7 linked regions of the Canis lupus familiaris genome follow. The protein of the gene in region 3 interacts with the protein of the main gene of each other region in a pairwise test. Links are inferred from orthologs where the notes say so. Each region holds a gene or a part of one and is shown on either strand. Other genes may lie near its edges. The genes, in order: HOXC11, PPA2, HTT, UBAC1, RNF20, SRRT and FEZ1.

What was found.
Region 1: the proteins of HTT (region 3) and HOXC11 interact in binary tests that used the Homo sapiens proteins (3 or more experiments, as listed by UniProt). The link is inferred for Canis lupus familiaris from reciprocal best matches to the Homo sapiens genes HTT and HOXC11.
Region 2: the proteins of HTT (region 3) and PPA2 interact in binary tests that used the Homo sapiens proteins (3 or more experiments, as listed by UniProt). The link is inferred for Canis lupus familiaris from reciprocal best matches to the Homo sapiens genes HTT and PPA2.
Region 4: the proteins of HTT (region 3) and UBAC1 interact in binary tests that used the Homo sapiens proteins (3 or more experiments, as listed by UniProt). The link is inferred for Canis lupus familiaris from reciprocal best matches to the Homo sapiens genes HTT and UBAC1.
Region 5: the proteins of HTT (region 3) and RNF20 interact in binary tests that used the Homo sapiens proteins (3 or more experiments, as listed by UniProt). The link is inferred for Canis lupus familiaris from reciprocal best matches to the Homo sapiens genes HTT and RNF20.
Region 6: the proteins of HTT (region 3) and SRRT interact in binary tests that used the Homo sapiens proteins (3 or more experiments, as listed by UniProt). The link is inferred for Canis lupus familiaris from reciprocal best matches to the Homo sapiens genes HTT and SRRT.
Region 7: the proteins of HTT (region 3) and FEZ1 interact in binary tests that used the Homo sapiens proteins (3 or more experiments, as listed by UniProt). The link is inferred for Canis lupus familiaris from reciprocal best matches to the Homo sapiens genes HTT and FEZ1.

Annotation. Positions count from the first base shown.
Region 1 is NC_049248.1:45,362,697-45,366,353, reverse strand, and holds HOXC11 (homeobox protein Hox-C11), read right to left. Parts: upstream 2,510-3,657; 5' UTR 2,503-2,509; coding exon 1,818-2,502; intron 1,361-1,817; exon of another isoform or gene 1,270-1,360; intron 742-1,269; coding exon 509-741; 3' UTR 501-508; downstream 1-500. UniProt on the Homo sapiens protein: Sequence-specific transcription factor which is part of a developmental regulatory system that provides cells with specific positional identities on the anterior-posterior axis. Binds to a promoter element of the lactase-phlorizin hydrolase gene.
Region 2 is NC_049253.1:13,629,372-13,632,871, reverse strand, and holds part of PPA2 (inorganic pyrophosphatase 2, mitochondrial), read right to left. Parts: intron 3,367-3,500; coding exon 3,239-3,366; intron 467-3,238; coding exon 381-466; intron 1-380.
Region 3 is NC_049224.1:61,750,089-61,754,039, forward strand, and holds the start of HTT (huntingtin), read right to left. Parts: upstream 2,801-3,951; 5' UTR 2,662-2,800; coding exon 2,447-2,661; intron 1-2,446.
Region 4 is NC_049230.1:49,424,990-49,429,197, reverse strand, and holds the start of UBAC1 (ubiquitin-associated domain-containing protein 1), read right to left. Parts: upstream 2,801-4,208; 5' UTR 2,786-2,800; coding exon 2,606-2,785; intron 1-2,605.
Region 5 is NC_049232.1:58,596,613-58,600,706, forward strand, and holds the start of RNF20 (E3 ubiquitin-protein ligase BRE1A), read left to right. Parts: upstream 1-1,294; 5' UTR 1,295-1,325; coding exon 1,326-1,417; intron 1,418-2,540; coding exon 2,541-2,613; intron 2,614-4,094. UniProt on the Homo sapiens protein: Component of the RNF20/40 E3 ubiquitin-protein ligase complex that mediates monoubiquitination of 'Lys-120' of histone H2B (H2BK120ub1).
Region 6 is NC_049227.1:8,828,862-8,831,700, reverse strand, and holds the end of SRRT (serrate RNA effector molecule homolog), read left to right. Parts: intron 1-298; coding exon 299-472; intron 473-562; coding exon 563-716; intron 717-1,001; coding exon 1,002-1,195; intron 1,196-1,359; coding exon 1,360-1,516; intron 1,517-1,698; coding exon 1,699-1,800; intron 1,801-1,917; coding exon 1,918-2,041; intron 2,042-2,142; coding exon 2,143-2,218; 3' UTR 2,219-2,339; downstream 2,340-2,839. Other genes in the region: UFSP1 (inactive Ufm1-specific protease 1), read right to left, coding at 2,503-2,839. UniProt on the Homo sapiens protein: Acts as a mediator between the cap-binding complex (CBC) and the primary microRNAs (miRNAs) processing machinery during cell proliferation.
Region 7 is NC_049226.1:9,054,029-9,057,528, forward strand, and holds part of FEZ1 (fasciculation and elongation protein zeta-1), read left to right. Parts: coding exon 1-263; intron 264-1,121; coding exon 1,122-1,202; intron 1,203-2,296; coding exon 2,297-2,372; intron 2,373-3,500. UniProt on the Homo sapiens protein: May be involved in axonal outgrowth as component of the network of molecules that regulate cellular morphology and axon guidance machinery.

The sequences.
Region 1 (3,657 bases), on a different chromosome or scaffold from region 3:
ATTTAGCTGCCCCCCAGCAGCGGGGGGTAGGTGGGGCAGGGGTGGGGAGCCCAGGAAGTCCCCCCTGGCAGACACCGTGTCTTAGCAGAGATCTTCTCACTGGGCAAGGGAAGGCTTTCGGTCCCAGGATTGCTCGCTCAGGCACCCACTACCCTCGCCCCCGCCCAACCCGAGCAGCAAGACAGTGTCGCGAGGTGTGTTTTCTTTTTAAATAAAGAGTCTTGGCCTTGGCGCCAACCACGTCCACTCGCCGTGGGTTAGACACTTCCCTTCACCCTCTTTCCAGGCCCGTCCCTGTCCCACAGCGAGTCGGATGGAAGGTGAAGGAGGTTCCAGAGAGAAGCGCGGGCGCCAGCAGTGGGGGCCAGCCCTGGCCACAGTCCAGTTTTCCACCCGCGGAAAGAAGGCGAGTTAGAAAATAAAAAATAAAAATAAAATAAAATAATTTCTCCCCTTTCTTCCCCCCCACCCCACCCGGCCCCCGCCCCCAGAAGGGCCCGGTCTGCGGTTACAGCAGAGGATTTCCCGAGAAATACTGCAGCCGGTCTCTGCTCAGTTTTTTTTCTTTCATCCTTCTGTTCTGAAACCAAATTTTCACTTGTCGGTCCGTCAGGTTCAGCATCCGGGACAGCTGCAGCCGCTTCTCTTTGTTGATATACACGTTGAAGAAAAACTCTCGCTCCAGTTCCCGGATCTGGAATTTCGAATAGGGGCAGCGCTTCTTGCGGGTGCGGGGGGCGTCTGGAGGGGAGGGAGGGGAGGGGGCGATGCGAGGAGAGGGGAGAGAGACACGTGAGACCCGGGCCGCCCCGCTCCCAGCCCGCCGCGGCCGCCCTCCCGCCGGGCCTGCCTGCAGACGGCGCCCGGGCCCGGGGCTGGCGCAGGCCCCGGACCCCCCGCCGGCCGGGCCCGCGGGGTCGCCGCCCCTCCCCGGGCCCCGGGGCGCGGGGGGGCGCCGGCCAGGTGCGCCTTGGGGCTCGGCCCGGCGCTGCGCGGCCTCCCGGGGGCGCTGGGAGCCCCCGCCCCGGCTTTGCGGGGCGCAGTGGAGAGGGGCGCGCGGGCCGAGCGCGCAGGCACCGAGGCCTCCCGAGAGCCGCGCGCGGGGCCCCGGAGCCCGGCGGGCCGCGCCTTCCACGCTCCCGGGCTGGGCCGGCGCCGCGAGGCCGCGGGGCGCGGGGAGGCTGAGCCCCGGGCCGGGCCGCAGCCGCCTCTCCCCAGCGCCCCCCTCCCCGTCGCCCCGGGGGGCTCCGCGCGGGCCCCGGAACGCACCCTCGGCCCGTTGCAAAAAAAAGCAGCTTTTCAGAGCAGCCCAGCCGCCCCGGTCTCAGGTTCTGCTCCATTGCTTCTCCCCCCACCACCACTCCCCCTCTCCGAGTTTCTCCCCGTCTCTCCCTCGCCCTCCCCTTCCTCCCCCTCCACCCCTCCCCTCCGTCCCACCCCACCCCCGGCAGCCCGGCTCCCCATCCTTCCTTCAACGCTCCTCTAAGTTCACGATCAAAGTTAATATCGCTCGCGATGGTGGCGCTTTTAAAAAATTTCACAGACCGAGGGAGAGATAGCGGGGAAGGGGGGGGGGCTCATTCACCCGGCTTTTCCAAAGCGCCCTTTTCCCTCCCTCCCCACCCCTTCTCCATCGTAAAAAGTCGAGTCGTTGGGAGAGAGGGCTTTGTAGGTTATAATAAAATCCTTTGAATGCTTATAAAACTCCACATAAAACCGGACTGACCCAAAACACGAGGCCGCCCCGCTCCGCGCTCCGCGCTCCCCGCTCCCCGCGCCTCCCCCCTCCCCGCGCCCGCCCGGCCGCCGCTACCTACTGGGGGCGGCTCCCTTGGCCGGCTCCTTGGCCGCCGCCGAGTGGGCTGAACCGGACGAGCTGGGGTTCGTGCTCTCCTCCTCGGCCTCGGCCTCGGCCCCCGCGTCCGCCCGGGGCGCCAGTCCCGAGGCCGGGGTCGCCTCGGGCTCCCCCTTGGCCTCGCCCTTGCCGGGGCAGGGGGGCTCGGCGGGCGCGTCGCCGCCGCCGCAGTAGGCGTTGTCGAAGAAGCGGTCGAAGGCTTGGGGCAGGACGCTGTTCTTGCTGACCGAGGAGTAGAAGCCGGCGGGGGCCGCGTGCGGGGCGCTGGGGTGGTGGTGGCCGCCGTAGGAGCCTTCGTTTTTCATGAGGATCTCGGTGACCGTGGAAGGAGGCAGGCACTCGCGGTGCATGAGCTCGTCGGCCGCCGCATAGCAGGAGGAGTAGCTGTTCCGGGGGTGCCACTTGCCGGAGGGCTCCAGGCCGTAGGAGACCTCGCGGACCGGGGGCACCTGGGCGGAGTAGGGGTAGGAGAGCTGGCGAGAGGGGGCCTGGGGCAGGAAGGAGGAGACCGTGGAGAACTCGGGCACGTAGTAAGTGCAACTGGGCAGATAGAGGTTGGAGGCGCAGCTCCCTCGCTCGCCGAAATCAGCGCCCCTCTCCTTGCGCGACGGCGAGCAGAAGTTGCCCAGGTTGACCGAGTTAAACATCGTTCTCCTCTCCTGCCGGCTCCAGATGGAGGTTTTGGACCCGATCTGGCGAGGGGGGAAAATTTTGGGAAGGCGAGATGACGCGTTATCCGTCTTAGTCTCTCTCCCCGAGCACGTGATCCAAAGTAGATATTGTCATATATCAGTTCGGAGCACTTCGCAGACGTAGGAGGGGTTCTCTCTTAGGTAAGATGGGGACGTTCAGGCGATTGGTTTGCAAACACCGCAGAAACATTATGAAAATCAATTGCAGATTTGTATTCGTTTTTCTCTCGTCACTCCCCTCCTCTCCATTCCACAGAGCGAGCAAAGGAGGAGAGAGAGAGAGAGGGTTGGGGTGGGGTGGGCGGTGGGATGGGCGGGGGCGGTGGCTGGGAGGGGGTAATTGTATTTTTTTTTCCCCTAGCTGCTGCTCTTCCTCTTCTCCCCCCACCCTCACCCCAGGATTAGGAGTAGGAGGTGGGTCTTGCCCACGTCTGCAGGTGGGGGGGTCTTGCCTCCTCCGGGAGATGAACCCAAGACCGAGGTGGGGATGAAGTCCTCCTTCCCCACCGCCTGGTTCAGCCGGAGATGTGAATCCTTCCCCCTCAACTCTCAGGGACTCTTACCCCGCCAACCCGCAGAGGGCCAGTGCCTGTTTACAAGAGTTTGAAGAAGTCCATCCTTTTCTTGGCCAGGGCTGTATGTCAAGACTCCTTTTTCTCTTTTGGAGAGACTCCTCAGAAGAGTGTGTGAAGTTTTCCAAAGGTGAGGCAGCCCAGCAGCAAGCCAAGTGTCCCAACTTTGTCTGGCTTGCTGTGCTGCCTGCGGCTAGGGACTCAGATTAGTCATAAACGAGTGGTAAGCAGTGCGCCAGCCGCCCAGCCGGTGCCTGGCGAAGTCTGGGAAAAACCTTCTCTAATGTTGTGTTAAATATTTAGTATGAGAGAGTGGCCCTGGGTGAATATTTCATGCCTGCCTTTATTGTCAATCAATGTGCAGAAAGCTACATCCACTGTGGATTTTTAAATCTCAAACCCCACAGATAAAGATCAGAATGAGAGCCATGTATTCTCTCTGTCCGGGGGGTCCTTTGGGTTGGGGGCTCAAGCCTCAGCTTGGGGGCTGAAAAGATGCCCAGAGTCAGGGTTCAGGAAGTATATGAAGGGAGGGGGT
Region 2 (3,500 bases), on a different chromosome or scaffold from region 3:
TATTACTATTTTGTTAAGAAATGAAGTGGTAGTTACACATAATTAAAATAACTATGTTTACATATAGCATATTAAAAAATGCTAATTTTTCTACTCCATCTTTGCACATATCACAGTGTATTATAATTAAAATGTCTTTTTACTCAACAGTATCCCCTACTAAACTATAAATCCCTTGGGAAATGGGACTATGCCAATTCCTAGTTTCATAGTGTGCAGCACTTGGTATTACTTTCCATATTGGCACTCTGTAAGTTTTTTTTTTTAACGGAAAAAAAACTGCAATTCTCTTTTTAAAAAATCAGATCTGACTAGTGTAATACGGCTGTCTAGTGGCATTAATAACAAAGTAACATCACATAGAAAAGACAAATTCTTACCACTTTATAGCTCCTCCATCACACTTCTTCATAAGCAATGCTTTCCAGCATTCATGAGTAGATTTAATAACATCAAGAGCAAAAGCCTAGTTCCAAACCAAAAACGGACATAAAGATCACATCATTATACTAACATGGAACTACTCTCACTATGACACCTTATTTTTAAGAACATGAGCTCTGGAGTCAGGCAAACCTGAGTATAAATTCTGGCACCCTTATTTACCAGCTGTGATTTTTGAGCAAATTACTTAATCTCCCTAAGTCTTAACTTCTTTATCTACAAATAGAAGGTAATGAAGATAATTTATAGTTGGGATTGTCAAACTAGGGCCTGTAGGCCAAATCTAACTCACCACCAATTTTTGTAAATAAAGTTCACTGAACACAATCATGCCCAATCATTTGTGCACAGCCTATGACTGCTTTAGCACTATAATGGCAGAGGTGAGTAGTTGTGACAGAGACCATATGGCCTACAAAGTCTAAAATATTTACTATCTAGTACTTTACAGAAAAAGTTGCCAACACCTGATTTAAGTTATCCAGCAGTTGAGGGATGTCTGGTTGGTGAAGCGTCTGCCTTCAGCTCAGGGTATGGTTCCAGAGTCCTGGGATTGAGTCCTATATGGGGCTCCCCTCAAGGAGCCTGCTTCTCCCTCTGCCTATGTCTCTGCCTCTCTCACTGTGTCTCTCATGAATAAACAAAATTTTTAAAATAAATAAATTATCCAGTTGTTGAAAGGATAAGCTGTATGCAAAGTGCTTAGGCTAGTCCCTTGCCTGTAAGTAAGCATAAACCTATTAATTTCATCATCATCAAAACTGCAATCTAGCTGCATAATAATTTTAGAGTATCCACTGTCTAAAGGCATTTATCATTTTCAAATATTTTCTTGGTATAAATTCATATAATGTCCCCAAATGCAAAATCAACAATATATACCTCTTAAGTCTGTCTAAAGGAACACTTATTAAAGCAGTATATTCTTTTGTTTTTTTCCTCCAAAGATTGCTAATTTTCTAATTTTCCTTAATAAGAGTCCTTATATATTAACTAATTCATACTACCTCCTTTCTCCTTGACAACACATGCTAAGAAGTGAAGAAAATCCTTGGTTCCAAAGGAACCAAGATGTAATAATAATGAGAAATTTACTGCTGAAAAAAAAGCTCTCTCAGCTCTCTAGTTGCTTGAGATGAACAAGTATGGCTCAGTGAGGTCATGTTGGGGAGTCCCAGCCAAGATGTGGGATAAAAAAGACAATATTGTCCAGATAATATAAGAAAATATTTTTAACCAAATCATTCAGATAATTATGATTATTTAGAATCACTTTCCCAGTACTTGCTTAAAGAGGTCAGGAGGAAAAATCTAGATAGCACGGGAATCATCTTTTCAAACATGGTGAAAAGATACAACTTAATTTTCCTGAGATAGGCACTGTATTTTAAACAGAAGTGGTAAAAAGCAATGCATAAGATGATTATGCTCTAAAAATTAGGTTGTATAAATGATCTAGTCTTCATTCAGAAAGAATTAATATTTATCAAAACCAAGCAAAAAAAAAAAAAACAAAATCCAGCAACTCCTAAACCACCTGACTCTATAAATTCATGATTTAGCAATCATATCCTGAGGCAGAAAGAGCTCAAATATAAAATACAACATTTTTTACAGGAAAAAAAAGATAAAAATACAATTTATCTTATAAATTTTCAATATTTTACTTTTAAGTAAGAGTATCCAATCGAAAATAAGAGTTTTATAACCACATTGAATAAATCTTAGACAAACCCCTCAAAATCTTAAGGCTTCTTTTAATGTGCCTTTTCAAAAATACTAAGTCAAGCAATAAATTCTTATATAGCAAAATATTTATTATAACTTGTAAGTTTCCATTAACATGACTCATTTTATTTACAAAACATATGTTACTTACGAGTACCCACTTAAATGTTGGGGTATACATAACGTAATTTATATAGTGGTGATAATTTTTTAAAAAATATTCTATGTCAGGGATCCCTGGGTGGCTCAGTGGTTTAGCACCTGCCTTTGGCCCAGGGCATAATCCTGGAGACCTGGGATCAAGTCCCATGTCGGGCTCCCTGCATGGAGCCTGCTTCTCCCTCTGCCTGTGTCTCTGCCCCCCTCTCTCTCTGTGTCTCTATCATGAATAAATAAAATCTTTTTAAAAAAATATTCTATGCCTTAGACTTGACGTTTTTGGCCCATTTTCTCCATTTGTGTCACATTAGAACACTTCATGGTAATTTTGTAGTATTCTAATAGAAAAATCCTATGACAGTAACATAATTCAAGTGCTTTCCTAATTGTTAAACAGCTTAAGTCAGAAATGGTAGAATGTACACTTAAGGGGGAAGCCCTCTTTGGATTTACATTATGGTAAGTAACTTTCTCCTGTCTAGAATAGTAAATGGAAGGTTCTTCTTCATACACAATTTGCAGTTAGACTGATGATAGAAATCCTTCATTTTCTGAGATGAAGGAGATATCAATAAAGAGATGAATACACATATGTATCAAGTGTTACTGATTCACTTACATCTCCTGAAAAAAAATCCTTTTAAATAAATATGATAAAATAATGCCCTTACATATTAGTCAGTATAAAGCACTTTTGTTACCATGTTATATACAAATACTCACATAAGAAACTCTCACAAACTTCAAGTATCATACAAGCACCACAAGGTAAAATAATGTCTTTAGAGTCACTATAAAGCACTTTTGTTATGTTATATACAAATATTCACCTAAGAAAGCCTCGCAAACCTAAAGTATCAAAGAATCATCACAAGGCACGTTTTATAATAAAGATCATTATCTTTACCTTGTTTTTGAATTCTCCATTAAAAGCAAACTGGTTTTCTGGTTTTCCTTCTGGCACCTTATAAAATCTAAACCAATTAAGCGTAGCTTCCAAGTAACCTGGTTTGTACTTCTTAACATCATCAATATCTGCAAGTGAAGGAACAAGATACTTTCTGTTAAAAACTGAAATTCATTCTTATTAATGGTAGAACACTGGACTGAGGGAGTCCACCTTTATGGCTAACTTGCAGCATAATAATCAACATGTATCACCTCTGGAC
Region 3 (3,951 bases):
CACAAGGGCAGAGCTTTATCTGTTGATTGCTGCAGCCCTGCAACTATTAGCACAGAGGCATACATTAGATGCTCAGTAAATATTTATCGATGGATGAATAACTAAAGTCAGGTGGAAACCAGGTGGGAATCTGAAGGACAGTAAGAAAAGCACTAAACACAAATGTCAACTATCTCATAATAGAGTTAGGACCGTCCCCACCTCTGGCACTCCCCTGCATGCCAGCCCTGCTGAGATTCTAGCCGGTCCCCTCCCACAACCCCAGCATCCCTGCATCCTACATGCTGAGCAGCAAGCAGGCACTAAAGCCCACGCATGGCTGTGACACTACAGCTCCACACAACAGAAGAGAACCATAAAAATAGAACAGATACTTTCTAAATCATTTTTGGACAATCCTGCTTTGGGGAATGGATTTTTCAGCTGAAGCACCTGAACAGAAATGCCAGGATCCAAACTTGTAAGCAGAGTCTGTTACTCAAAATTCATAAATTTCTACTTTCTCAACAGCAAAGTGCCTACAAATATGATATTTATGTATTTTATTTAAAATAACTACTATTAGGCCCATCAATGTAGTTGATTTCAGAGCATGCTAGGAAGCTTTAAAAGTTACTACTCTGAAATATTTCTATTTTAAATAACTCGAAATCTCTCTTCATGTATCCATGGGTTCTATCTGTAAGGGTACAGAAGGAAGAAGTTTAAGAGAGCTTGCCTCTGGGAACACAGTTAGGTACTCAGGAGAAACAGACGGAAGAGAGACATTTTAATTATTATATTTTTGTAATTCAAGAATTTGCATCATGGGAGTGTACTATTTACATGAAAATAATAAATTACGCTTTTTAAATAAGTCAATCACATATGACCTTAAAATAGGGTAATAAAACAACATCTATCTACTTTTGCAAGGGCAGTTTTAGAAAAAAAAAAAACCTACTTTATACCCATATTTTGAAGATAAACAAATTCAGATTCTGTCAAATCAGTGTAAGAAACAGATGGCACATTTTTAGACTGACCAAGTATTTGAACAAGCCTACAGTGACAGCAGTAAGGTCTCCCTTCCCACCCAAAGCCCTCCCTCCTTAACGCTTCCTGTTATACAAGACCCATGCAATGTGTGAACTTCCATGACATCTACCTCCTAGAGAGAGGCAGTCCAATAAAAGTCTGGGATGAATTATGATGATAAATTACCTGATGTAGAAAGAACTCAAATTATTTTTTAAGTATTTTTTTTCTCGAAGCATCCAAACAGGTTTTTCACCTCTTAGAAGAAAAATTAATTTACTTCTAAAGTCTATCCTAACAGCCAAGTCAACATCACTCCCCAAGTCATTTTCTAATTGAACTCTCAAGACATGGCAAGGACCACGTCAGAAACACAAAGAATAAAAAAACACTACTAAAATTGAACGTGACATTATAAAGGGGCTGCCCCTTGGAAACTGTCCTCATTAAATGCCACCACGCATCCAGATGGCAAACCCAGACGCCGGGGGAGAGAGGCCCGGACCGCCGCCGAGCACTCCCGCACTCCCGAGCTCACGGAGCCCGGGGAAAGTACCTGGGTTCCGCCGGCAGGAGCGGTCTCCAGGCACGAGCAGCAGAGACCCCTAGCTTCCAAACAGTAGCACGCAGGCGTCTCCAGCGAAGGAAACAGGAGCCACCCACAGGGACCGCAGGCAAGCCGAACTCCGAGCTGGTGTAATGCACATCATTCCTCCCCCAGCGCTGAACCTCCCTCTCGGCAACGGGTTGTTTTTATTGCCAAGTGAACACAGGCAATAAACTTCAGGCGACTCTTCCTAATAATGACCTTCTAAGCAGCTCACCACTTCCTTGGGTCTGCAAACCAGCTTGAGCTTAGACACGCGAGCGGATCTCCTCCTGATGCCAGCGGACACGCCTCGGGAGGATGCGGGAAGGCAGCCTCGAGGCGCAGAGAAGAGCCCCGCGGCGCCGGGGCCGCACTCCCGCGCCCTCCCCGCCCCCGCGGCCTGAAGGCATGATGTCACCGCTCTCCCCCCGCCCCACCCCCCGCGCTCGCTCCCAAGCCCGGCTCGCGGCGGGGTGTCCGGCGCCCGCGCTCCTTCCTCTCAGGGACGCCCAGGGGGAAGGGAAGCGGCGGCCTCGGCTATCCAAGTTCTGCCCACAGCACAGCCCGTTTCGTGCAGATACAAAGCAGCAAGTTCCTCCCCTAACTTCGCACGCCGGGAAAGGCGGGGGGCCGAGGCCGTGCCCGCCTCGGTGCCCTCGGGGGCGGCCGGCGAGCCCGAGTCCGCCTGCCGAGGGGCGCAGACACCCCCGGGGCCGGGTCTGGCCGCAGGACGGGCGGCGGTGCGCGCCCGGGGTTCGGGGAGCCGCGGGGCCGGGGTCTGCAGGGGCGCCGCAGCCCCCCGCCGTCGCGGGGCCGGAACTGCCGCGAGGCGGTACTCACGGTCGGTGCAGCGGCTCTTCGGCCACCGCCGGGCCCGGGGGCGGCGGGGGCGGGGGCGGCGGGGGCGGCTGCGGTAGCGGCGGCTGCGCCTGCGGCAGCGGCTGAGGAGGCTGAGGAGGTGGCGGCGGCGGAGGCTGCTGCTGCTGCTGTTGCTGCTGCTGCTGGAAGGACTTGAGGGACTCGAAGGCCTTCATCAGCTTTTCCAGGGTCGCCATGGCGGCCTCCCGTCCCGCGGGGACAGCCCCCCGAGCCCTCGAGCCGACCGGCGGCGGCGCTCAGCAACGCGGCAATGAATGGGGCTCGAGGCCGCGGACATGAGCGGAACCAAGGAGCCCGGCCATCTTGGACCCGTCCCGGCAGCCCCCGCGGCCGTGCGTCTCTCGACGCTGCGCCGGCGGGGCGGGGCCAGGGCGGCGGGATTGACAGCCCGGGGCGGAGACCTCTGCCAATGGCCGGCCTAAGCGCCGGCCTAAGCGCCGCCTGCCCCTCCCGCGCCCGCCCGCTCGGCTCCCAGCACCGCCGCGCGGCTGAGATCACAGCCCCACTTTCCGGTGGGGGCGGGGCGGGGCCCGGCGGGGCGGAGGATGGGGGCGGGGCCGGGGCGGGGCAAAGAGGGCGGACGAGGCAGGGGACGCGGCGGGGAAGCACCTGCGGCGGGAGGGGCGGAGCGGAGGAGGTAGGGCGCAGGGTGGGAGGCGGGGCAAAGCACAGGGTGCAGGGTGGGGGCGGGCAGTGAGGCGGGGCAGAGAGGACGGGGGCGGGCGGGGGGCGGGACAAAGAGGGCGGGCGTGGCAGGGGGCGCGGCGGTGAGGCACCTGGGGCGGGAACGGCTGGGCGCGCCAGGCAGAGGATGGGGGGGGGGCAGGGGGCGGGGCAGAGGTGACAGGGCGGGGGGTGAGGCACGGCGAGGCGGGGAGGGGAGGGGAGGGCCTAGGACAGGCACCCGGTAGAAACCTGCCGGGTCAGTGCCTGCAGCCCGCAGAGTCTGTGGCTGGTGCCACGAGCAGCCACTTAGACCCCAGAGGCGCCACGCATAGCAATGATGGCCCAACCCTAACGGGTTCGCTTGGAGGAGAAGACCCTTGCTCCACAGAGGTCTGCAGGGCACCTCCTGCTTAGGGTGGGTAGGCTCTGAGAAGGGTCCTGGGCTCCAGAGCCCCACTCCTTGGAGGCGAGGAAGTGAGCCAGCAGAGGACCACAGAGGGCGGTGGCGCATCAGGGGGCACCCTGCCTGGCAGGGAGTGGGTTGGCCCCAGAGAGAGTTGCCTGGGGAGGGGAGAAGGGACGGGGGTTGATGCATGCACTATGAACCCTCCCGATCCCACTCTGCCCACAGGCCACAACTCCACCTTCTCTCACCGCCAGTCAGTTGTCCCAAGTGGTCAGATAAAGGGAAGCCCAGCGGCACCACAGAAGCATTGCCCCTGAGGGGAGAACGACAGGACCCCCCCCCCTTCAGGGAAAGGACATCAGAGAATGTGCCCCCAGCCTGGAGGGCCTAGTTC
Region 4 (4,208 bases), on a different chromosome or scaffold from region 3:
TGCACTCCCTACCTTTTATGACAGCAGACACCGCCCCCCCCCGCAAATCGTCAATCGTCTTAAATTCAACACTGGCTCTGCTCCCAGAATTACTCAGTGTGCTTCTTCTAATTCTGAAATTTGCAGGCTAGTTGATTTGACAAGTTCAGAATACAGTCTATGAAACACAATTTTCCAAAACAATCCTCATATGGTTCCTGAAAAAAAAAAAAAAACTGTACTCTGCAGCATGTCAACACCGTGCCAGGAGCACAACGCAAGCATGAGTCATCCATACTGTGCACAATTACTTCATTCTGTGTCTTTGTTCTCAGCAGAAGCACTCTGAGCATGCTAAAATACGGCAGCGAAACAGCCCCAACAAAGCCCATCACCAGGGCAGGGAGGCTCTGACCCCTCCTGAACCTGCTTCCTCCCCAGAAGAGCCAGGAGGTGGTTCCGCTCACACTTGATATCATGTGTCGTCCAAAGACACACTGTCATATGATCTAAGAAATGTGAACGGCCATATTAACAGGTGCCACGTTACACAGCAGCAATTTCATGAAAGATCCCAATTTATATAAAAACCCAAAAAGAGGGGATCCCTGGGTGGCTCTGTGGTTAAGTGCCGCCTTCGTCCCAGGGCGTGATCCTGGAGTCCGGGGATCAAGTCCCACATCTGGCTCCCTGCATGGAGCCTGCTTTTCCCTCTGCCTGTGTCTCTGCCTCTCTCTGTGTGTCTCTCATGAATAAATAAAATCTTTAAAAATAAATAATACCCAAAAAGAGAAAATAAACAGAGACAATCCATGTCTCTAAGAGTTATAAAGATAATACCACTCATTAATAAAGCAACAAACTCCCCAGAGGACCGTGGAAATGGGGTGGAGGGGGTACGGAAGAAATCCACACTGTCCCCTTCGCGGAAGAAGGGAAAATTCCTGCCAGCTCGAGCATGCACCAGGGCAAAGCAAGGAGGAGGAACAGAAGCCCGGGCACGCAGTGAGCCTCACTGCCGGCAGTAGCGGGACATACAGGGGATGGTTTCCAGGGTGACATTCAAGTATACACCTTGAGAATTCTCTTTCCTAACTAATGCATTCTGGCTGCCTACAGAAGCACAGGCACAGACGTGGGAATACTTGCTGACAGCTCAGCTCTCGGGTCCTGTGATTTATGCCGCTCCTCCACACCTGGAAAGACTGCAGAGTGGAATAAAATCTCAATTTAAAGGAGGAGAGTGCCAGAAAAATCCCAAACGACACACCTCAATCCCGACTGGAATAATAAATATCAGGTAGATAATAATTAGCATCTTATTCAAATTGGCTGCCTAATGAACCCCAAGAGCTCCTGAAATTCATTAGCAAGCATCTGCGGATCAGTCAAACAGTTCTCATTTCCTGCTCCCCTTCATAAAATAATATTATGATAGCTATGTAAATGAGTGAGTTAAGCTAAATGCCATCCCAATTTACCCCCTGACTTCTCCCTCCCTGACTCAGCAGGTGTCAGGCCATGTCCACGCAGTCCCAGACTGACACTCCATCTCCATGTATTCCATTAATCCACACGTTTGTTTGGGGCCTGCAGGGAGCCTGGCTCTAGACATGCAAACACAGGCCCCGAGGGCCCTCGAGGAGTTTCTGTCCTTGATGGGCCAGACAGGAAGGGGACACAGGACTCCAGTTTTGTTTTGTTTTGTTTAAATGTACATCACTAGACCAGCACCGGTGTGTATCTCTAACAGCCTGGATGCACGGGGAGCCCCCCTAACAGCCTGGACACTAGGGGAGGCCCCCCAACACCCTGGATGCTCAGAGAGGCCCCCAACAGCCTGGACGCTCAGGGAGGCCCCCAACAGCCTGGACGCTCAAGGAGGCCCCCAACAGCCTGGATGCTCAAGGAGGCCCGCAACAGCCTGGACGCTCAAGGAGGCCCGCAACAGCCTGGATGCTCAGGGAGGCCCCCAACAGCCTGGACGCTCAGGGAGGCCCCCTCACAGCCTGGACGCTCGGGGAGGCCCCCAACAGCCTGGACGCTCGGGGAGGCCCCCTCACAGCCTGGACGCTCAGGGAGGCCCCCAACATCCTGGATACTCAGGGAGGCCCCCTCACAGCCTGGACGCTCAGGGAGGCCCCCTCACAGCCTGGACGCTCAGGGAGGCCCCCAACATCCTGGATACTCAGGGAAGGCCCCCAACATCCAGGACACTCGGGAGGCCCCCAACAGCCTGGACGCTCAGGGAGGTCCCCCTCACAGCCTGGACCCTCGGGGAGGCCCCCAACAGCCTGGACGCTCAGGGAGGTCCCCCTCACAGCCTGGACCCTCGGGGAGGCCCCCAACAGCCTGGACGCTCAGGGAGGCCCCCTCACAGCCTAGATGCTCAGGGAGGCCCCCAACAGCCTGGACGCTCAGGGAGGCCCCCAACAGCCTGGACGCTCAGGGAGGCCCCCTCACAGCCTAGATGCTCAGGGAGGCCCCCAACATCCAGGACACTCGGGAGGCCCCCAACAGCCTGGACGCTCAGAGAGGTCCCCCCAACAGCCTGGACGCTCAGGGAGTCCACTGCCGGCTGGCTGGGTGCTGTCCTGGGGGTTTGGGACCTGAGGAAAGCACTGACACAAGACAGGACTGCATGCCTGCCTGAGGGTGTGAGCCCAGAGCCCCCTCCTCCTTGACGTGAGTCCAAGACAGCGGTGGCTGCCTGATGTCCAGCACGTTCCAGAAGGGGGCTTGCACTGGCCACCAGAACGCTCTTTGGCCTGCAGTGGACGGTTACACAACGACTCCTCAGAACCATACTCAACGGCCCCAACGATCTCCGTGGGTAGTTACTACCGTAACCTGGAGTTCACCCTTGGAGCAGACGCTTCCTTTAACAAAACACCTGTCAGCCGTATAAATACCAAACTCAGCATGTGGAACCCGCACTAAAAGGCTGACAAGAACACTGCATCGCGCCAGGTGCAGTTCCCTTCGGGAGCCAGAGTCCCAAGGGCCACTTCCCCGCCCCGGCTGAAAAGTTTCCGGAGATGAAGCCAAGGAACTAGCTCCAAAAGTGAGCAACCCACGGAGCTACCCGAACGAGGCGCCTTCCCCACGAATAAACCCTGAAAGGCGGCGGCCTCCCAGGCAGCGGGCAGGCCCCGGCCAGTGCGCCCCGCTCGGTGGCCGCCCCCGAGAGGCCGAGCGAGCGGCCCGCCCCGGCCCCGGCCCCGGCCCCGGCCCCGGCCCCGACAGCAGGCCAGCGGGCAGCCCCGGACGGCCGGCCTGAGCGGACAGGCCCCTCTCTGCGCCCCGGGCGCCCATCCCCCGCCCTCCAGGGCCTCGCCCCCAGGGCCGGCCGGCGCAGCTGCTGGAGGGCCACGAGGCTGGCCCGCGCGGCGCCTTCGCGGCCCCTGCCTCAGTTTCCCGGCCTGCCCCACCCCTCAGGCTGCTGCAGGAGCTCACGACCCGGGAGCGCGTGTGGAGGGGGCGGGGGGCGGGGGGCGGAGGGGCCGGCCTGGGGCCGCCGCGCGGCCTTACGTGCTTGAGGCAGCGCTCCTTGAGCTTCTCCACCGACGTGTCCTCGGTCGCCTCCTCCAGCCACTCGGCGCCGTCGGACGCGCAGATGTGCAGCCGCAGCACCTTGCCCGCGAAGATCTTCTCCTCCTGCACGAACATCGCGCCGCCGCCGCCGGGCCTGCGCCCGCCGCCCGGGCCGTGAAGGTCACCGGGGCGGGGCCAGGCCGCCCGCGCGCTCCCCCGCTGGCCGCCGCCGCCCCGCCCCGGCTCCCCTAGGCCAGCCGCCCGACACTTGCCGCGGGCCGAGCGGTAGCCTGGCTCCCGCCGCCGGGCTGCCGGGGGCGCGCTGCCTTCGCCGCGCCGGAAGTGCGTCACAGCGCGACCGGAGCATGCCGGGAGATGTGGTTCTCCGGCGGCCTCGGCGCACCCGCCGCCGCGCCGGAATGCGTCACAGGGAGAGCCCGGGGGCACGGCGGGAGCTGTAGTTCTCTTGCTGCGCCTCCATCCCGCCCCTGCTCGGTCCGCTGGCACGCGGGCCCTTGGGTTTGGAGGTCCGTTCGGAGACGGGCTCCAAGTGTGAGATACGCGGCAGATCTCCAAGAGTTCGAGGCGATGACAAATGCTCGATGTTGTCTTTATATTGATTATATCTTGAAATAACTGCCTGGGTGTACGGGGTTCGGTAAGGAGTATTGAAATTGAGCTCCCTGCTGCTGCTT
Region 5 (4,094 bases), on a different chromosome or scaffold from region 3:
CTTCTGATCTCTGGAGAGTGTGGTGCCTGATACACATTGATTATAGGCATTCAACAGTGGGAAACTGTACAGTCATTTTTCATTCACTGAAAAGTTAGGTGCTAGGTACTAAGAGGCGGTGTTCCAAAATCACTGAGAGAGTTGTGATGGGTCACAGTCTGAGGCCAGACTTCCTGGAATTCACTCTCAGCACTAACACTTTCTAGCTGCATGGCTTATCCTCCCTGTGCCTCTTCTCCATGTTTATAAAATTTAATATGGTACCTACTTCATTGGGTTGTTGAGATGATAAAATGAAAGAGCCCCTGTTAAGGGTCGAAATGTTACCTTTAATATGTAAGTACTCCTCCATATATGTGAGCTATTAATAATAATTATTGGGCTAGGTATTATGACTATCATGGTGAATAAGATAGATACTGTCCTTGCTATTATGGAGTTGACAGATTCATTAGACTGTTCTACACCAGAAGCTTAGAGTAATGTTATATGTCCATTAGACATCAGAAGTTCACTATAATAAGTGTGGATCTAGATTAGGAGTCTGTATTCTGAAACTCAGCCATGGGGATATGGTGTTAAAATGCTACATTTGTATAGCTTATGAAACCACATCTCTTCCTTATTTGAATTAGGCTCAAGATGAAAGAGAAAATGGGAACATTCAGAGTAAATAGTTGATGAAGTGTCATTTCTGAGTCTGTCTGGGGTTCAACTACTCTGTACTGCTGCCAGGAGGTGATTTTGTCTTAACACTGAATCACGTTATGCATCCCAAGGACATTTGCTAATTCAGTAAATATAAATATTTGTTGAACATCTGTTATTTCTAAATACTATGCTTTACACTGAAGACAACCCCTGGACTTCAGTTTGTTAAGATGGCACTGCCAAGAGACCAGACTGTTCTAATATTTATGAGTGGGAGATGTGATGTTCATAGGGATAAATAGCCATAGGCTCTAAGGGAAGCAGACAGGATTCATCCCAGTTTGGACATTATCCACAAGTCATTAGAAGGTCTTAAGCAGGAGAGTAACATGCTCTGACTTCTGCTTGGAGAATAGATTATAGAGGAGCAAGATTTAGAGGTTGAAACGTTAGCAAAATTGTTCCCTTGTTCCTTCGCCCTCTTCTCCTTCCCATTATGGGTGGGGAGTTGGGACATATCTCCACTGATTCCTGCCCCAGTTGGTTGAAGGTTGCCTTTATAGGCAATATCTCTTCTTCTGCACTTCAAGGTTGCTGTAGTGAGCCAGCTGAGATTGTGGAACAAAAGTTGAAAAGATTCCAGGTGGCTTGAGGTGGGAACACTGCCTGTATGAATGGAGCTGTCCACCACGGCTGTGCTGAAGTCTGGGAGACTGACAGGACATGGCATGGGGAACAAAAGTGTCCACTACAGGAGACTGTTGCAGTAATCTTTTTTATTTATTATTTTTTTATTGGAGTTCAATTTGCCAACACATTGCAGTAATCTTGATGAGGGATCATGGTTGCATGGGTCACCCTGGAGGTAGTGTTGACAAGATTTGCTGGTGGAGTGGATGAAGTTTATGAAATCCCCAAATTTGTAAGTATAGACTGTCCACTTACTGAGCTAGGGAGAAGTAGGAGAGGAACATACTTTTTGGGAAGCTGTGGAGGATGAATCAGGAATTTGATTTTTGACATGCAAGTTTGGGATACTTATTAAACATCTGAGTGGGTAGGTGGTTGAATACTATAATCTGCAGTCTGAGGAGAGGTCGGGGTAACGCTGTACATTTGGGAGGAGGTATTTAAATCCATGAGACTAGAGGCTCTAAGCGAGTGTAGATACAGAAGAGGTTTGATTGAGAACAGAACCCTGAAGCGCTGTGATGTTTTCATTTCAAAGAGATGCAAAGAGACAGAAAATGAAGTAGATGGAGAACAAGAGTGACTGGGGGCCCAGAAGTCAAATGAAGAGAGTTTCAGGAAGGAGTTGTTCAGGTGCTGCTGATGGTTTGAGTAGGGGGAGCATTGAGACATTTGGTTTAGCAGTGGAAGGTTCTCGGGAGCCTTGATAACTGTGTTTATGGAGTGGTAGTGCTAGAAGTCTGATTGGAGTGAGCTGAAGAGAATAGGAGAGGAGAGGAATTAGAGAAAAGAGGGTAGAGACCGTGCTTTGCAGGAGTATTGATGACTTTGTCTTTGCAAGACAAAGAAATGGGGCATTAGCCACAGGGAAATGTGGGGTTTAGGGAAAGTGGTTTTGTTTTGTTTTTACGATAGGAGCTATTACAGCAGGTTGATTGAAATTATTTGGTAGAGATGATAAAGTTGATGAGGTAGTAGAAAGAGGAGATGGTTGCTGGTGTGAATTTCATGAATAGGGGAGAGAGCATGGCATGTAACATACAAGTGGGGAATTGGTTTTAACTGGGAGCAGGGGCAGTTGATCCATAGCAACAAAGAGGAACACAGTGATATGAGTTCAGTTGTAGGTAGGTCAGTAGTTGCAGTTATGAGAGATAGATGTGGACATTCTCTCCTGATTGCTTCTATTTCTTTTTCAGTGAAATCAGAGGCGACTCATCTGAGAGTGAGGATGGGGGAGGAAGTGTTGGAGGTTTGAAGAGACAGGAGAAGGTATGAAGTAGTCATCTTGAAGAGGGAATGGACTAGAGAGATCGAGTATTGTTGCTGGGCAGCACTGAGGACCTACCTGACTCTGTGATCATGAGATAAAGTGAGCCCAGGCAGCACGGTACTTTGTTTTGTGGTCACATTCAGCTGCATGGATGTAGGCCTGGAGTAGTGGAGAGGTGGATGATACCACGGGTGGGGTTTTTACCAGGTAGGTGTGGAGAAGGAGCAAGGAAGGAAGAGGTTCTAAAAGGAGATGATTATGACTGATCATGGAATTCAAGTTCAAGAAAGAAAGGGAGTGAGGAAGTGAGAGGAGTGAAGGATGGGAAAGATAGAGGACCAATGATTGTAGGTGCTGGAGAAAGTGAAGAATTGGAGGAATCAGGGAACCCGAGAGAATGAGCTGGACAAGTAGGTGGTAATTGTGGAAAATGGGGTGTTTGAAATTCAGCTTATAGAGAGCATACACGTACAGCTCAGGCTAAGAATAAGAATAACAGAGTTTGGTGGCTGAGGGAGGTAGAGGACAATATCATTGGAGGAAAGGAAGTCAACGACTTGAGGATTTGAGATACAGGAAAGATCATCTATATGGGAATTGTAATCAGTAAGAACCGTGATAGTAGTAGCATTGGAGAGTGATAAGCTAGGTACTAAATCTTAAGGAAACATGGGGAAGTAATCGGCACATTTATAGACCAGTGCAGGAAGGCAGGGTGGCAGGAGGATGCCTGCCTGTTTCTGGCCCAGGGCAGTGCTGGAGAAATGTGCAGGGAAACCGTATTCTCATCCTGGTTTCAGTTAGAGCAAGAAGGGGAAAGGAGGGCTCAGAGAAGAGGTTAAGGATATCTTTTATTAATGGTATTAATAACTATACGTTTGGAACTATTGACTAATTTGGCATATCAAGTGTTTTAACACTGGAAGAAGGAGAATAAAATGGAAGAAGGAGAATAAAAGCAAAACAGGATATTGGTGCTCTAATAAACAGTGCTTACTTTAAAATATTCATGAACTTCGAGGTAAAGTAAAAGTGTAATCCTTTCCAATCCTTTGTTTCTGTGCCAGGGTTCTCCCTCCCTGACCTCTACCTCCCAACTTGTCCTAGGGAAGAGGTTAGGGTGAAAAGTTAAAGATACTGAGAGAGGTGTGGAATTACTGATGGAGTGATATTTTTGCAGAAACAGAAGGGAATGAGATCCTGAGCACAAGTTGAGGTCAAGTATGGAAGATAGTGGAGATAGAAGGGATTGACAAGGAAAAAGGAGAGAATTAAAATCCTGGAAGATCTAGATGAGGATTGGTATATGGGGATAAGGGCACAAGGTATCTGGAAAGATAAGATTTTATTCAAGGAATTTAAGGTCTCAGTTGTGACAGAGTTACAGATAATGACAGAAGTCCAAGATATGGCCTTTGAAATGTGTGGCTGAAGCACAATGGGGGAGATACTCACTAGAGTTAAGGAATTCAGAATGCAG
Region 6 (2,839 bases), on a different chromosome or scaffold from region 3:
TTTTTAAAAAGCAGCCAATACCATATCGTCTATGATAGGCACCTCTGGTCTTGTCAATGTCTTGTAGCATTGACCCCCAGTTCTTATACTCTGTGTCTGCGCAGATACTCCAGCTTCCAACAGAATGGACTGACATTAGTTATGGTTTATTGGCTAGGATAGAATAAATAAAAGATAAATAATGAAGCAGTATTAACAGGCCAAGTGAACCCTGGATTCCTTTCTGCTTTAGCTTCCTGGGCTACCTGCCTCAAGAGTTTTCTCTGCTTCACTTGCCATTCTTCTTTCTCTCTACCAGAGTCTGCCCTCCCAGAACCCAATCTTGAAGAATATCACTGACTATCTGATTGAAGAAGTGAGTGCGGAGGAGGAGGAGCTGCTGGGGAGCAGTGGGGGGGCTCCCCCTGAGGAACCCCCTAAGGAAGGGAACCCAGCAGAGATCAATGTGGAGCGAGATGAAAAACTGATCAAGGTACCAGCAAGAGCAGGCGGGCAGGGCCCTGGCTTGGGGCAGCAAGGGGGTTAGAAGAGTATGGTGAACTCAGATTTTTATTTCCCTCAGGTTTTGGACAAACTCCTTCTCTATTTGCGCATTGTGCATTCCTTGGATTATTATAACACTTGCGAATACCCCAATGAGGATGAAATGCCCAACCGATGTGGCATCATCCATGTTCGGGGGCCTATGCCGCCCAACCGCATCAGTCATGGAGAAGGTGGGCTCCCAGCTTCCCCATTTCTGATTCCCTTTGGTTTCCCTTTCTTCTCAGCTGCCTCTGGTCTTAGATCTGTTCTGGTAACGGTGCCTTAACCACCCTCTCTTTTTTTTTTTCCTTAGAATTTAAAGTAATCTTTATAACCCAAGGTGGGGCTAAAACTCACAATCCTGAGATCAAGAGTCACATGCTCCGACTGAGCCAGCCAGGCACCCCTTATCCCTTCCTTGTTTCTTGCTTCTAATTCCCTTCTCCACCCCACTGTTCTGTGTTCCCAAACCACAGTGCTAGAGTGGCAGAAGACGTTTGAGGAGAAGCTGACTCCATTGCTGAGTGTACGGGAATCTCTTTCCGAGGAAGAGGCTCAGAAGATGGGTCGCAAAGACCCTGAGCAGGAAGTGGAAAAGTTTGTCACCTCTAACACCCAGGAACTGGGCAAGGATAAGTGGCTATGCCCTCTCAGTGGCAAGAAATTCAAGGTCTGGGATGTTAGGGAGTTCTGTGTTAGAAGTGTGGGTGGAGGGGGTTGAGCCAGGAAGCCTCCTCAGGCCTGGGGTCAAATTGGCTCTGGAAATGGTGGGCTGGGAGGTTAATTATCCCTTCCACATTGGTTGCTCTGCTCTGACCCTCTTTCTTTACCCAGGGCCCTGAGTTTGTACGCAAACATATCTTCAACAAGCATGCAGAGAAGATTGAGGAAGTGAAGAAGGAAGTGGCATTTTTTAACAACTTTCTCACTGATGCCAAGCGCCCAGCTCTGCCTGAGATCAAGCCAGCCCAGCCACCTGGCCCTGCCCAGAGTAAGATACGATCCATGAGGGTCTGCCACATTCCCTCTCCTTTGACTATTGAAGGACTCCTGGTTCTTATATCCTGGGATTCTCTGAAAACTTTCTATCCCACTCTCAGGAAGTGTTTCTAAAAGCCAGTTGTCATTCCCCATCTCCCCCTCCCGCAGTAATTCATGTTCCTGTCCATGTTGTACTCCCCCCAGGCCTGACCCCGGGACTCCCCTACCCGCACCAGACTCCCCAGGGCCTGATGCCCTATGGTCAGCCCCGGCCCCCCATCTTGGGGTATGGAGGTAAGTATAGGGGAGATGTGAAAGGGCTTAGTAGTGACTGAGGGCTGGGAGAAAGGAAGCTGAACCCAGGTAGAATTGAGGTCACAGGTTTCAGCTCAACACTGATCTCTTTCATAGCTGGTGCTGTACGCCCTGCAGTCCCCACGGGAGGGCCTCCATACCCTCATGCCCCCTATGGTGCTGGCCGAGGGAACTATGATGCCTTCCGAGGTCAAGGTTATCCTGGGAAGCCTCGGAATAGGTGAGAATGAGCTAAGATGTTCAGACTTTCCTTGCCCCCTTCAGGCTCCCATTCAGAGAGCCTTAACTCTCCTCCCATCTTAACTCTTTTGTATCTCACAGGATGGTCCGAGGAGACCCACGGGCCATCGTGGAATACCGTGACCTGGATGCTCCAGATGATGTGGACTTCTTTTGAGCCATTTACTTTTCCTCACTCCTGGTATCGTCTAGAATTGTGACTGCCTCATCCCATCCAGCTGAGAATTTTTTTGTACGTCCAACCCTACTGCCAATAAAAGCACTTCCATAGTGATTGATTTATACCTCCCCAAATTCTCCCAAAGATTGGCTGGGGCCATGATTATGAGCTTCACCACTTTATTGATTCCAAGGGCCCAGGCAAGCTTTTTTATCTTTGAGAAAAGGGGATAGGTGAGTGTGTTCGGGGCCAGAGACTATCTCTGTTCTGGGACCCTAGTCTCAGTCCAGGGCATGCTGTTGATGTTGGGAGTTGCGGCTCGTCAAACACAGGTTGTAGAAGGAGTTGGGGTCAAAGGCTGTGCCCACTTCTCTCCATCCCACCCAGCCACCCGCCTGTAGTTCACTGGGATTTTTTGGATCACCCCAGAAGTGAGGGTCCAATACCAGAACATAGGCTTCCGTGCCTGGTCCCAGGCAGACTCCCAGCAAGGCCTTGGATTGTGCATCTGCATCTCCCCCAACCATCACAGGCCCCCCACCCCCTGCGAAGTGGGAGTAGAGCTTCTCCAGTTCTCCCTGAAGCCCTGCTCCACGGGGTATGTGACACAGGCGCCCC
Region 7 (3,500 bases), on a different chromosome or scaffold from region 3:
ACCTGTCGGGGTCGGAGCTGACCGAGCTGCTGGACCAGGTGGAGGGCGCCATCCGGGACTTCTCGGAGGAGCTGGTGCAGCAGCTGGCCCGCCGGGACGAGCTGGAGTTTGAGAAGGAGGTGAAGAACTCCTTCATCACGGTGCTCATCGAGGTTCAGAACAAGCAGAAGGAGCAGCGGGAGCTGATGAAGAAGAGGCGGAAAGAGAAAGGTCTGAGCCTGCAGAGCAGCCGGATAGAGAAGGGAAGCCAGATGCCTCTCAAGGTACGTGAGCCCCCAGCGGGGAGAGGGGGCGCGTGGGGCCCGGCACTGGCAAGACGGGGACCGAGCGGTGACTGCAAGCAGGACCCGGGCACGCACTAGGGCCCTGACGACGGAGAAGGCACCCCGTCTCCTTTACTCCCCTCGAGGACCTCGGTCTAGCTGGGGAGACGGGTCGCGGACATCGGAAAATCCTTGCCTGTGGCATGTGCTCCCGAGGCAAGCCCTTGGAAAGAGGGGTGATGAGCCCTGAGACTCGGGGTCAGAATCCCCCTGCTCCCAGTCCTGCCTCACCTCCTCCAGGTGTCGGTGGGGTGTCTCAGGATTGAAAACTCTGACGCCTTACTGGTATGTTGACAGGGTTCCAACCAGCGGTTCTCGGTCAGGGAGGCTCAGGGGAATCATCCAAGGAGCTTTTGCAAAATACCTTGGCCTGGGCCCTGTCCCAGACCTACTGATTCAGGCCGAGGCTTGTGCATTCTGGGAAAGGCTTCCCGGATAAGGACAGTAGCTCTGCGGACGTTGTGTTCTCCTCCCTAAGATGCTTGTGGCGTCATCTGCCCCAGGTGGACCATCCTGCTTTATTCTCTGTACACCTGGAAGCTGGAATGAGGAAACCAGGGATGTGCAGGGGCCACCCGCTGCCCTGAGGGATGACGGAGTTAAAGAGTCTTTGAGACTCAACAGCTGGTTCTTGCAAAGCTCAGGCTTCCGTGTTGGCCTATGTTTTAGACCGGGTGTTATCTGGGACCCGGTGGTAGCCGTGGGTCTGGGTAGCTTAGGGAGGACACCGAAGTCCCCAGGGGGTGATGACGATGGGGCGGGAAGCACTTGTTCTTGAGCACCCCCCACTCTCCGCAGCGCTTCAGCGTGGAAGGCATCTCCAACATTCTGCAGAGCGGCATCCGCCAGACCTTCGGCTCCTCAGGAACGGACAAACAGGTATGAGCAGTTCCCCGGCTCCCAGAAACCCTCTGGGCCCCTTGCCACCTGGCTTCCCCCGCAGAACGGGACGTGGCGATCCCCTGGGATTATCCCAGCCCTCGGGCAGAGAGGTCTTAGCACCTTCTTGCACTCTTAGGGAGGGACACACAGTGTCTTTTAAAGGGTGAACTTTTTTCTTTTTTTAATTTCTTTTTTGAGCGGCTGCCAAGCCCTCAGGTTCAAAGATGAGTGGGTCCTGGCCCTGCCCTCACCAAAGGGCGTAACCTGATAGAACAGGCATGTGCATAAATGGATGCGTTTGAGATCGTGGACTAAGTTACCTGGTTGTATGCGTGTGTTAGACACATTCATAGCTGGATCCTAAGGGCTGGCATTCTAGCACCGCAACATGGGAAGTGATTTGGGGAACATCTGGCCCAATTGCCACATTTTGCAGGGGTGAGAGCTAAGACCCCAGAGGGATTAGGTCTCCTCTCAAGGCCACACCTCGAGGGGCCAAACATATGTCTTTGGCCTTTGGGTCTGGGGCTCTTCACCCTCAGCCCCCCAGGGTCCCCCACAACCTCCAGGATCTCTCTGGTACCCTGTTCTGGGGGGGATGATCTATTTGTATAAGCACCTCATATCCAGCAGAGGGAGCAAACCCAACGTCCAAGACCGAGGGCGGGGTCGAGGTTCTCTCCCCTGTCATTTTTGACAAAAGGGAGACCCTTGGATTTCGTATCACCCGGCACAGGATAAGGAAGTACCATCTCCCCTTGAAATGTTCCCTGCGCTCAGCCTGAAGGAGGCACAGCTCACCAGGACTCCTAAATATCCCCAAGCTTCTAAGCATCCGAAGAGTGTATTGTATGGAAGGGAGGGCTAATAGGGTTAAGTCTTAGTTTTAGAGATGTCCCCCAGAGACAGGGAAGGGGTCCTAGGGGTCCTGAAGCAGCGCTGTGCAGAGGATCGTGGGTGTCACTGAGTGTCGCCTTCGGGGAGCATGTTTGTTAGGCAAAATCACAGTCCGCATGCGGATGGCCGACGGATCTTACCGCAGAGGGGCCGTGCTTGTGTCTGAAGGCCTGTGTGCCGTGTTTGTCTCGTAGTATCTGAACACGGTCATCCCTTACGAGAAGAAAGCCTTGCCCCCGTCGGTGGAAGATCTCCAGATGCTGACAAACAGTGAGTTCCTGTCATCCCCAGCGAGATGGGCTGCTCGTTTCCCTCCCTCCCTCCCTGCCTGCCTGCCTGCCCCGCTGCAAGAGGTACCCCTGGGGTCTGAGGCCTCAGGTTTCCCCAAGAGCAGCGTTAGCTGGGTCAGCCTGTGCATCACGTTCCCCTACAGGGGACAAAGCCAAAGTCCTCTGTAGTGGCACCCAGAGCTGTCTTGTTTGCTCCCTGGTTCCCTGTAAAGGGCAGAGCTTTGCCAGGAAGGAATGAGCTGGGGAGAGGGGTCGGCGGCAGGTGGGGGCAGGACTGGTGTGCAGGCCCTGGCTCCCCAGCAGGCCTCAAAGCCTCGCCTTCTCTGCCTTGTCTGTCCTTCTGGCGGCAACTTGAGGTTTGCTTTGTCCCACCTCATGGCCCCGCAGCAGGGGGCTTGGTCTGCATTTTTAAGGAGAAGCAAGGTTTCTTCTTCAGTGGCAGTGGCGGTGGCGGGTGAGTGAGCCTGATTGGAAAGAACAGTCTTCCTTCCAGGAACTGACTGCCTCCTCTTCTCTGCTCTATTGTCAAATATTAATCAACACCCTGAGCTACGGGAGGAACCAATGTGTGATAAAGAGCCTTTTGTAGGCAAAATCTCTTTACATACATCAAACACAACAACGCCCCAAGGGCTCGGGGCACATGGTATTAGCCATCAGTGTCAGCCTGCATCTTTTAGGAAGAGAAAAATCCTAGGCCGAGGTGGCGAGGTGGCGTGGCAGCTCAGTGAATCCCAAGAACGCCCATCTCCCTGGCAACCGAGTGCCTCACTGAGTGACATAGTAACCGGGCCACCCAGCCCAGCGTCACCCTGCCTCGGAGGCAGTGGCTTGAGCTGGGGGCCAGCGCAGGGCCACTGGATACCCCGGGGGGAGGAGGGGCAAGAGGAGTTTCTTCTGTTCAGCTGAGGATAGATACCTGCAAGTGTCCCCAAGCTCCCCGCCCCCCCCCCCCCCCCCCCCCCCGTGCTATAAAGGTGACCAAACATTTTCATTTTTATCAATTTGAAGAACCAAAGCAGGCGGTTCTGGTAAACAAACCCTGCCTACATCCAGGGATACCGCGTCCTTGAGAATCTGGAATTTTAAATTCAAAGTACATTGGCTT